Nothobranchius furzeri: one gene and its partner. The protein of the gene in region 1 purifies or fractionates together with the protein of each later gene. This does not show direct contact. Links are inferred from orthologs where the notes say so. Each region holds a gene or a part of one and is shown in the gene's direction. Other genes may lie near its edges.

Region 1 (4,399 bases):
AACTGTGGTGACCTGGAGACATCTCGAGACCGGTCTGGTCGTACTGCGGTTTCGCCTACGGACTTCGGTACCTTTGGGGGGAGGCAGGTTTCAGATCAGAATAGATTCAGGGAGATGAGAAATGCCTGATTATGCAAGTAGCTTCAATCGATGCGTTTCAAGATTTTCAAAGTAAAACTCTAAATTAGCAGCTGAGACAGGAAAATGCATGAATGCATCCCAAAACAGGTTTGGGTATATTTCTTATGAGGAAATAACAATATTTCTTGGTAAAAAGCTCCAAAATGTGGACTTTCCTTGATATGGCCCCTTTAAGTTGTGTTTGTATAAAAATTCATAAGATTATTGCTTCTTCACGAGGAAAAAGACACATCCCTGGGTGGGCTCAAACCACCTACCTTTCAGTTAACAGTTGAATGCACTAACCCATTGCACCAGAGGCAAGATACCTTTTTTGGAGCACATATAGCAAAACAACCACACACTGCTTACTCACATTTATGTCATAATTAGTTAAATCATGTTGCATTTAATTGATTTTTTTTCTAGAGAGGCAATACATCTATTCTCAGATGTTACAATTTTAGATTTACTACAGCCAAAGTTAAGGCCATGATTTATCCCTGATGAGGATTTATCTTGGAAACTACATATAACCAATTTCAAAAGTAACAAAATCAAGAATACCAAAACAATATATACCCTTAATAAACTCATCAAAAATGAATTGCTTAGCTTATATGATGCTATGAGATAAACGTATTTATGAGGCGGAGAGAATGAAAAGGAAAACACACATTGTATGTTCTACTTTGTATTTTTTATAGCTATTTTATTGTGTGTTTTGATTTGCATTGTTTTCTCCTTTCATTAAGACATTTTTTGTGTGTGTGTATTTGTTTCCGCTCCATTTTTTGCCAAAGTTAAAACAGTAACATGTCCAGACATTTTTTTTTAGCTATAATAACTTTGTTGTCATTTGCATTTATTTTGGTTAAAGGAACAGATAACATAAGTTTTGCTTCTTTCTGTTCCTTTTTCATTTTTGCAAACCTGTTTTGTGTTTTGTTTTTATTTGTGAATAAATGAAAATAAACTTAAAAAAAACGTTGGACTTTCTGATAACTTATAATAAACAATTTAAGATCAAAAGTATTTTGAAACCAGACCGCAGCAAAAAAAAAAAAGCTATTACTTCTGCAGTGTTATAAATAGATGCGGTGTTAAAATTGCTTATTTTTGTACAAACAGTTTAAACGTGTCTTACGTTAATCTTGTGTTTGGTTTATAGCTACGCTCCCCCCCCCCCCCCCCCCCCGTGTGGGCGGGGTCCTAACTGATGTTTTCTTAGGTAGCCTGTTAAAATGCCCGAACTCAAAACACTTCTTTTTCCAAGATGGCGTCGATGAAGGACAGCGACACCGGCCTGTGGCTTCACAACAAACTGGGATCCACGGACGAGCTGTGGACGCCTCCGAGCATAGCCTCTCTCCTCACCGTGTCGGTAATCGACAACATACGGTTGTGTTTTTCCAGCTTGTCGCCGCCGGTGAAGCTGAAACTGCTGCTCGGGATGCTGCATCTTCCCAGGCGGACGGTGGACGAGGTGGGTTCGTTATACCTATTTTTTTTCTGTACACCGACAGGTTAGAGGCGCTCGCAAATTTCCTTCGCGACAAAGAAATGCACATACCCCATAGTTTAAGTTGCGCTGCATTAAAGCACTTGGAGCGTCCAACAGTAAAAGTCCTGTGTGAAACTGTGACCGACGACGGCTAACACCTCGAGCTAACCTGATATACTTTCTGCAGTATTTTCTCCCAAGTTTGTACCTCAGCCTGGATTCTGTGGGGAATTCACATAAACAAAGAACCGATTTATGGCTAACTTGTTAGTCCATTTTCCACCAGAGGTTAACCAGCTAGCGCGAGTAACGTTAGCCTGACGGCTTCCTCACGGACATTGTGGTCGATGAGGGAAAGGACGCAGCAGTTAGCAGGGCTGGAGGGCGGTGCCAACATTCTCAATCCGACATATCAGCTGCCAAACTACAGCGCGCCTCATGATCTTACTGCAAAATGTAATAAACTCAATAGTGTCTTAACTGAAAGCTATTATCCCCCAGTTTGAACTATTAAATGTTCTGCCCTCATGTTTTATTTAGTTTCCAACAACTGCACGGTACATAACACAGTAGTAAACATATATATTTTTATATTTGAGTATTTATTTCACTGTATTTTGTTTATAGCACTTGTATGCAAATCAATGCTAATTTAATTTCAATATGTCTACATTTGCTTAGACTCAAGGAAATTACAACTTTATTTGGGTATTTTGGACCTGTTGCTGGCATCTAGTGGTAAGGTCTGAAATTAGAACATCTCGCATGATTCATCAACAAACTGCCCATGTGTTGGTGTGCAGCAGGGGTGGTTCTACAAGGGGTCCAGTGTGAGCCAATGCCATCCTGACCGCAACCTCGGACCCCACTTTCCCCCTCCTAATTTTGCCATGGCCTTGCTTCCCCCTTCTATTAGTCAAAAAACACCCCTCCGGTCAAGTTGTGAAAATTAGTTTTTCCATTTTAAGATATGAATGCATCAAGTCTGCTGCAATGTCAGTGTTGTCCAAGAGAAAATTCAATAAATGCATAATGGGACTCTCCTAAATAAAATCCTGCCAGTTGTAAATTAATTGGAATGCTGCAAATGTTGTCTTTTCCCAGATGAAGGAGGCCCTGTCAGAGATCATCCAGCTGGCTACGGTGGATTCAGAGCCCTGGGTGCTGATGGTTGCAGACATCCTCAAGTCCTTCCCAGAGACTGGCTCTCTTAACCTGGACTTGGAGGAGCAGAATCCAAACGTGCAGGATATTCTCGGAGAACTCCGGGAGAAAGGTCGGACTGTTTTTTTATGTTGACCCTCTCTTTGAAAAGTGTGAATAGCAACCCCATATGATACAACTATATAATGGTGGATTTAAAATCTAGAAATAAAATGAGTTTTGTGTGATTTGGGTCTCTAAATGTCCCGGGCATTTGTTCTCTAGTTATTAAAATGTTATTAAAATGAATTGACTTTAGTGAATTACGGTCCTGTTTTTGACCTCTTCTCCTCAGTGAGTGAGTGCGAGGCATCGGCCATGCTTCCTCTGGAGTGTCAGTACCTGAACAAGAGTGCCCTCACCACTCTAGTGGGACCCCTCACACCCCCTGTCAAGCATTTCCAGCTCAAGAGGAAGCCCAAGAGTGCGACGCTGAGAGCGGAACTGCTCCAGAAATGTGAGTGATTTTGAAATTCTGCTGATATAATTAAAACGGAAATTATATTCATCAAACGAGTGGTCTGATGTCGCGTCCTCCGCAGCGACGGAGACGGCCCAGCAACTCAAAAAGACAGCCGGGGTGCCTTTTCACGCCAAAGGGAGGGGACTGGTGAAAAAGATCGACACGACAAGTGAGTTACAGCAGGATTTAGCTCCGTGGTTTTCCTAAAGTCGTGATGTTGTTCATTTGTGCGTCTCCATCTGCATCCCAGCTCCTCTCAAAGGGATTCCCAAGGCCCCGTTCCGCAGCCCCACAGCACCCAGTATGTTCAGCCCTCCCAGTAACCGCACACCCATCGCTCCCCCGCGAACCCCTCTACGGAAGGAGAGAGGAGTCAAGGTTTGTTTCCTGTAATATTCTGCCTGTGTAATTAATTTGAGCAGGTTTTTATTCAAGCTTTTTTTTTTTTTTTTAGCTTTTAGATATTTCAGAGTTGGACATGGTCGGAGCTGGAAGGGAAGCCAAAAGGAGAAGAAAGACTTTGGGTAAATCTAGTTACAAATCTCTATTTTTTACGTGTTGAGCACGATAGAAACAATCTTACATTTCACCTCATGGGTGTAGAAACAGAAGCTGTGGAGAAAGCAGCCAAGGAAGAGGCGGTGGTGGAGAACACCACACCAGACTACGCCGCAGGCCTCGTCTCTGCACAGGTACCCTACACCTGCACCCTGTTAGATTTTCTTATTGCCTTAAAAATGACCTTTTCTTTTCGGTTTTGTGCTTCAGAAACTGGGAGCTCTGAACGAGAATCCTCTGCCTTCGACCAGCTACCTTCCAGCCACACCCAGCATGGTTCCCTCCTCGTCTTACATTCCCAGCTCCGAGGCACAGCCAGGTTAGTGGGGTGTTAAAAGGAACCCAGGTTACAAAACCTTGTGGTTCTTAAAGATAAATGTTAGTGTCAGTTATATTAAAGTGGTGTAAAAAACCTTAACGTCTTCATTTTAATAACATTTGTAAAAAATAGTTTCACTCGTAGGTCGCCGCTGTTGTTAGCGTCGCAATGCACTCTGGGTAGTGACGTCATATGGTTGCACCGGCCGGCTTTGGGACCCTGTAGTGACTGT
Region 2 (4,465 bases), on another chromosome or scaffold:
TGGACAATGAAAAGCCGATTTAAAGGTAAATTAGTGTGGTGGCACCTGGGGTGGCCAGTCAGATTCCAAGGTTGGCATGTGCCACCCCAGGCCACTCCCTGGACACGCCCCTGCCTCTCATCCACTCAAAGAGCTTCATTTAAAAAATTCTGATGAGAAACAGGAAGTGGTTTTCATTATTATGGCTATAATGATATGTTGATTTTTATTCACAGAGGAAAAGTCTGACCGGGAAATCTTAAAAGAACAAAAAATTAATTTCAGCCAAAAAAAAAAAACAGGTGACAGCAGCTCTGTGATTGGTTGTTTGAGTTGGCAAAATGATGACGTCCGGCTCACGAGGTGACCAACAGCTGGACCGAGTCCTCCAAAAGTGACGTTTGAAAAAGATTCCCGGCCTTCGGACCGGGAGGTGACCCAGTTCGCCCGGCTTGGCGCCTGTACGCATGCTCAACGGGCCTCATGGACCCCGGTCAGGTCTGATCCGAACCCGTCTGCGGCTCCATCAGCTCTCAGGTTTGTCTTTGTTGGGACCCATGAACTCCACTCCGTCGACGGGGATGTCCTTCTCTTTGATGGCCTTCTGCACACACAGCTGGTACTTCCGGAAGGTCTCCGTGCACGGGTCTCCGCTGCGGTCTCCTTTCAGGAACTTCTCCGCGAACCAGCGATTGAAGCACTGGTCATAATCCCGCTTAAGATCGGTGCAGGCCTCCCCAACGCTGTTCATCTCCAAGAAAACGAGTAAAAACACCTCTACGGGTCAAGAAACAGGACAGGAAGTCTGTCTGACTGCTGTCCAAGCGTCGACCGGATCAGCATGCGCACTGCGTAGCCCTCGATTAACGTGATTGGCTGAATGAAGAGGGACGCAGCATAGCGTAATGACGTTTTACTTGCCAAAGATATGTAGTAAGAGAGCTCACTCTGTCACAACTAATCCTATTTTTATTTTTATCATCACATCGTTAACTATATTTACTTTGTACGTCTCCTAAATTAAAATTTAAGCCTGTTTAGAATGTCAATTAGTTGAAAACGACAGAAAAATGTCTGAATTTTAGTCACCTGTCGTATTTATGACAGATATTTTTTATACATTTCCATGAATGGATGTGGCCAATCTGCTGATATTGTTTTAGCAAATTGTAAAAATAATGAACGTTTTCTATTTAGCTCACATTTAGTTATGCATTTTCACCTTATAGTTCTTCTATAGTGGAACTGTTTACAGGTGACCCGTTTACAGGAGGTTCAGAATGCCTGTGCTCAGCTTCTGACCAAACTGTCAAAGCACACCCACATCACCCCGCTTCTCCTCCAGCTTCACTGGCTGCCAGTCAACTTTCAAGATCCTGGTCCTGGTCATTAGGGCCTTACTTGGACTAGAACCATCATACATTGGTGATCTTCCCAGTCTCTCCACCCCCAGCAGACCCCTGCGGTCCAGTGATCTAAACCTACTTGTGCAGCGCACCGAGCTAAAGATTTGCATACACCTTAGGGTCAGTACAGTCAGGGGAAGATGGCGTCAGTTCGATCTCGTATGGGCAGTGTAGTGTTCACATGTAGCTGCGAAGGAATGCGGAAATCCCCAAGCCGACGGGCAGTGTTTAAGATGCATAGAAAGTCAGGTGACAGATCATTTGCTGCTGAGATCCCCAAGACTAAAGAACTCTCTCATCCTGAGTCTGAGCTCAGTGGACTCAGTGGTCTTCTTTAAAAGGAAGCTGAAAACTCACCTGTTTGGACTGGCTTGGCATGACATCCTGTTGATTCTTCATCTCTAGCTTCTCCTCATTCAACTCTCTACAAATTTTACCTTTCCCGGGATCCCAGGATCTTTCTCTTCATTATTCATTTTTGTTTCCCTTTCCTCATATTAGATAGATAGCTAGATAGATAGATAGATAGATAGATAGATAGATAGATAGATAGATAGATAGATAGATAGATAGATAGATAGATAGATAGATAGATAGATAGATAGATAGATAGATAGATAGATAGATAGATAGATAGATAATCTTTAATGACAGACTCTTAGGTCCAGATAAAATATATATAAAACAACAGATCAATGAAACAAAATAGATAAATAGAAATAAAAAGATAACAGCATAAAATTGAATAAAAATCTAAATGTAATTTAAAAACTTTACTATAAACTATATTGTTAATTACAGTATATTTTTTAAATTTCCAAATTGCATGAATGTTTTTAATCATTTTTTAATCTTCTTATTTTTGATCTTGTGAAGCGCCTCAGGATTTGATTTAGTGAGGCGCTAAATAAAAGACCTTCTTCTTCTTCTTCTTCTTCTTAACCCATCCTATATAGGTGAATAAAACAATGCAGAACAAAATAATGTTTGCTTCGGCAACAGACGGACTATATTTCTAAACTGAATGCCAGTTAAATGATTTGTGGAGAAAAGGAAAATATGTCAGAGTGAGACCTCTTTATCCCCACGAGCTACGTCCTGGCGAAAACACGCGAGAGGTAACACGTTGCTTCCCGAAATCTCGTAGCTCTCACGGAAAGCTTCAGGCGTCGCAGACAGAGATAAACTATTGTTTTCACTTATTTGTTGTTTAATGGAATAAAAATCAAAGCGGGAAATAAAACCAGGTAAGAAACAACTTTTAATGGCGTTTAATAAGATTTGATAGCTGTTGTTTTCTAGATACCGAGGCTGTTACATTTAAGCTAACGTGGTTAGCTTTGTTAGGCCATCTTGGTTGTTGTTCTGCGGAGCTCACAGTCTAGGTTTGAGTTTTAGTTTGTGCTGTTTGATGTGATTCATTCTGCTGACGTTTGTTTCTTCACAGTTACGACAAAATGTCTGACAGCGAGGACAGCGACTTTTCTGACAACCAGAGTGAGCGCAGCAGCGATGGAGAAGCTGAGGAGGTGGAGGAGAACGAGGTATGCTAACCTTTAATCCGGGCTCTGAGGCTTGCTCACTTCTTATGTCCCCATAAGGATTTTGGTTGAAAACTAATTTATATGAAACAAAAGCTGGGCGACAGAACATTAAAGTGTTTTACTGGGAGAAAAAATTGACTACAGGAACGAAAATTGAATATCCTTTGTGATTTAATTTGAGTGACTAGGGCACGTGTACCGTGTCTGACTTGTAGAAACAAACTTATTCAGTTATTGTTACGTTACCGTTTCTTTTAATACGTAAAAAGGAGTGAGATGATGAAACATGGATGTGTGACGTCTTTATGCTGAACGAGATGATTAAGTAACGTTTACTGTTGTTTTTTGTGATGCCCTCCACCAGGAGGAGGCTGCCAGCCCTGTGGGCAGTGACAAGGTAGCAGAGGAGGAGGGGGAGGACCTAGAGGATGAGGATGAGTATGATGAAGAGGAAGAGGAGGATGAAGACGACGACCGGCCGAGGAAGAAGCCGAGACATGGAGGGTTCATTCTGGATGAAGCCGGTGCGAGGAGACGTCTTCCCCTAAGCTTTACCTTGTGGCACCTGATGATGGGCGGAGCATTAACGCCCACCTGTTCCTTTTTGTTTGTTTGTAGATGTGGATGATGAAGATGAGGATGATGATCATTGGGAGGAGGGAGCAGAGGATATTCTGGAGAAAGGTGAGACTTCATGAGAGGGAGTGGAATTTTCTGGAAACTGAACCCGGTTAACTTCACTTGTGGAGCAGAGTGACTTGGTAAAAAGACCAGGTGAACATAGTTGTTTATAACACCACCAGTCTGTCCGATCTCAGCAGACATGATGCAGCAAAGCTTTTAGCTTTTGTTTTGGTGGGTTTTTGCTTCAGAGGTCCGTTCAAAAGTTCTAAACCTTTGTTATGAAACAGGTGAGTTCTGACGATAAGTGGTGATGCATGAAGTTTCGGTTAGCTACAAACTGTTAGCAGCTATATGACAGTGTTTCCTGTTTCTGAGGTGTAGCGAAGTTAGCAGAATCTGCATTTGCAGGTAAAAGCAAATCAAGAAGCAGGTTTGAGTTCAGGGGAGTTTGTTTTGCTGCCCTGGGCCTCTGAAGCATTTTGATCAGTGGGGGGTGGAGTTTCAGCTGCCTCTGTGCTCTGACTGATTTGTTTTCTGTCTCACGGCGTTCCCCGCTGTCCCGGTCTCCAGTTAACGGTAATTCTAAAGCCTCATCAACGCACATTCAGAGCAGGTCCCATCCCAGACTGCTAACCTCACCTCATTTCAGCTCAGCTGTGTGTGTGTGTGTGTGTGTGTGTGTGTGTGTGTGTGTGTGTGTGTGTGTGTGTGTGTGTGTGTGTGTGTGTGTGTGTGTGTGTGTGTGGCAACCTGCAAACATTCTGACACAAATCAGAGTATTTTACTAGTTGACTAGGTTGTGTCCTCCAAAGCACTTACCAGTACAATCCCTCATTATGGGCTCGACACGCGGGAGGCGACAAACGACCGCGATCAGCGAAATTTGTCGCCGTTGCATTTATTACCTGACAC

Evidence for each region.
Region 2: the proteins of nelfa (region 1) and supt5h purify together in Homo sapiens (affinity purification with mass spectrometry; 3 studies listed by BioGRID and IntAct, with this or other methods). This does not show direct contact. The link is inferred for Nothobranchius furzeri from reciprocal best matches to the Homo sapiens genes NELFA and SUPT5H.

Annotation. Positions count from the first base shown.
Region 1 is NC_091742.1:60,247,967-60,252,365, reverse strand, and holds the start of nelfa (negative elongation factor A), read left to right. Parts: upstream 1-1,328; 5' UTR 1,329-1,396; coding exon 1,397-1,606; intron 1,607-2,728; coding exon 2,729-2,900; intron 2,901-3,122; coding exon 3,123-3,284; intron 3,285-3,369; coding exon 3,370-3,459; intron 3,460-3,540; coding exon 3,541-3,668; intron 3,669-3,744; coding exon 3,745-3,814; intron 3,815-3,893; coding exon 3,894-3,982; intron 3,983-4,058; coding exon 4,059-4,167; intron 4,168-4,399. UniProt on the Homo sapiens protein: Essential component of the NELF complex, a complex that negatively regulates the elongation of transcription by RNA polymerase II.
Region 2 is NC_091753.1:56,971,844-56,976,308, forward strand, and holds the start of supt5h (transcription elongation factor SPT5), read left to right. Parts: upstream 1-1,636; 5' UTR 1,637-2,632; intron 2,633-2,832; 5' UTR 2,833-2,842; coding exon 2,843-2,929; intron 2,930-3,293; coding exon 3,294-3,453; intron 3,454-3,547; coding exon 3,548-3,613; intron 3,614-4,465. Other genes in the region: triap1 (TP53-regulated inhibitor of apoptosis 1), read right to left, coding at 506-730. UniProt on the Homo sapiens protein: Component of the DRB sensitivity-inducing factor complex (DSIF complex), which regulates mRNA processing and transcription elongation by RNA polymerase II.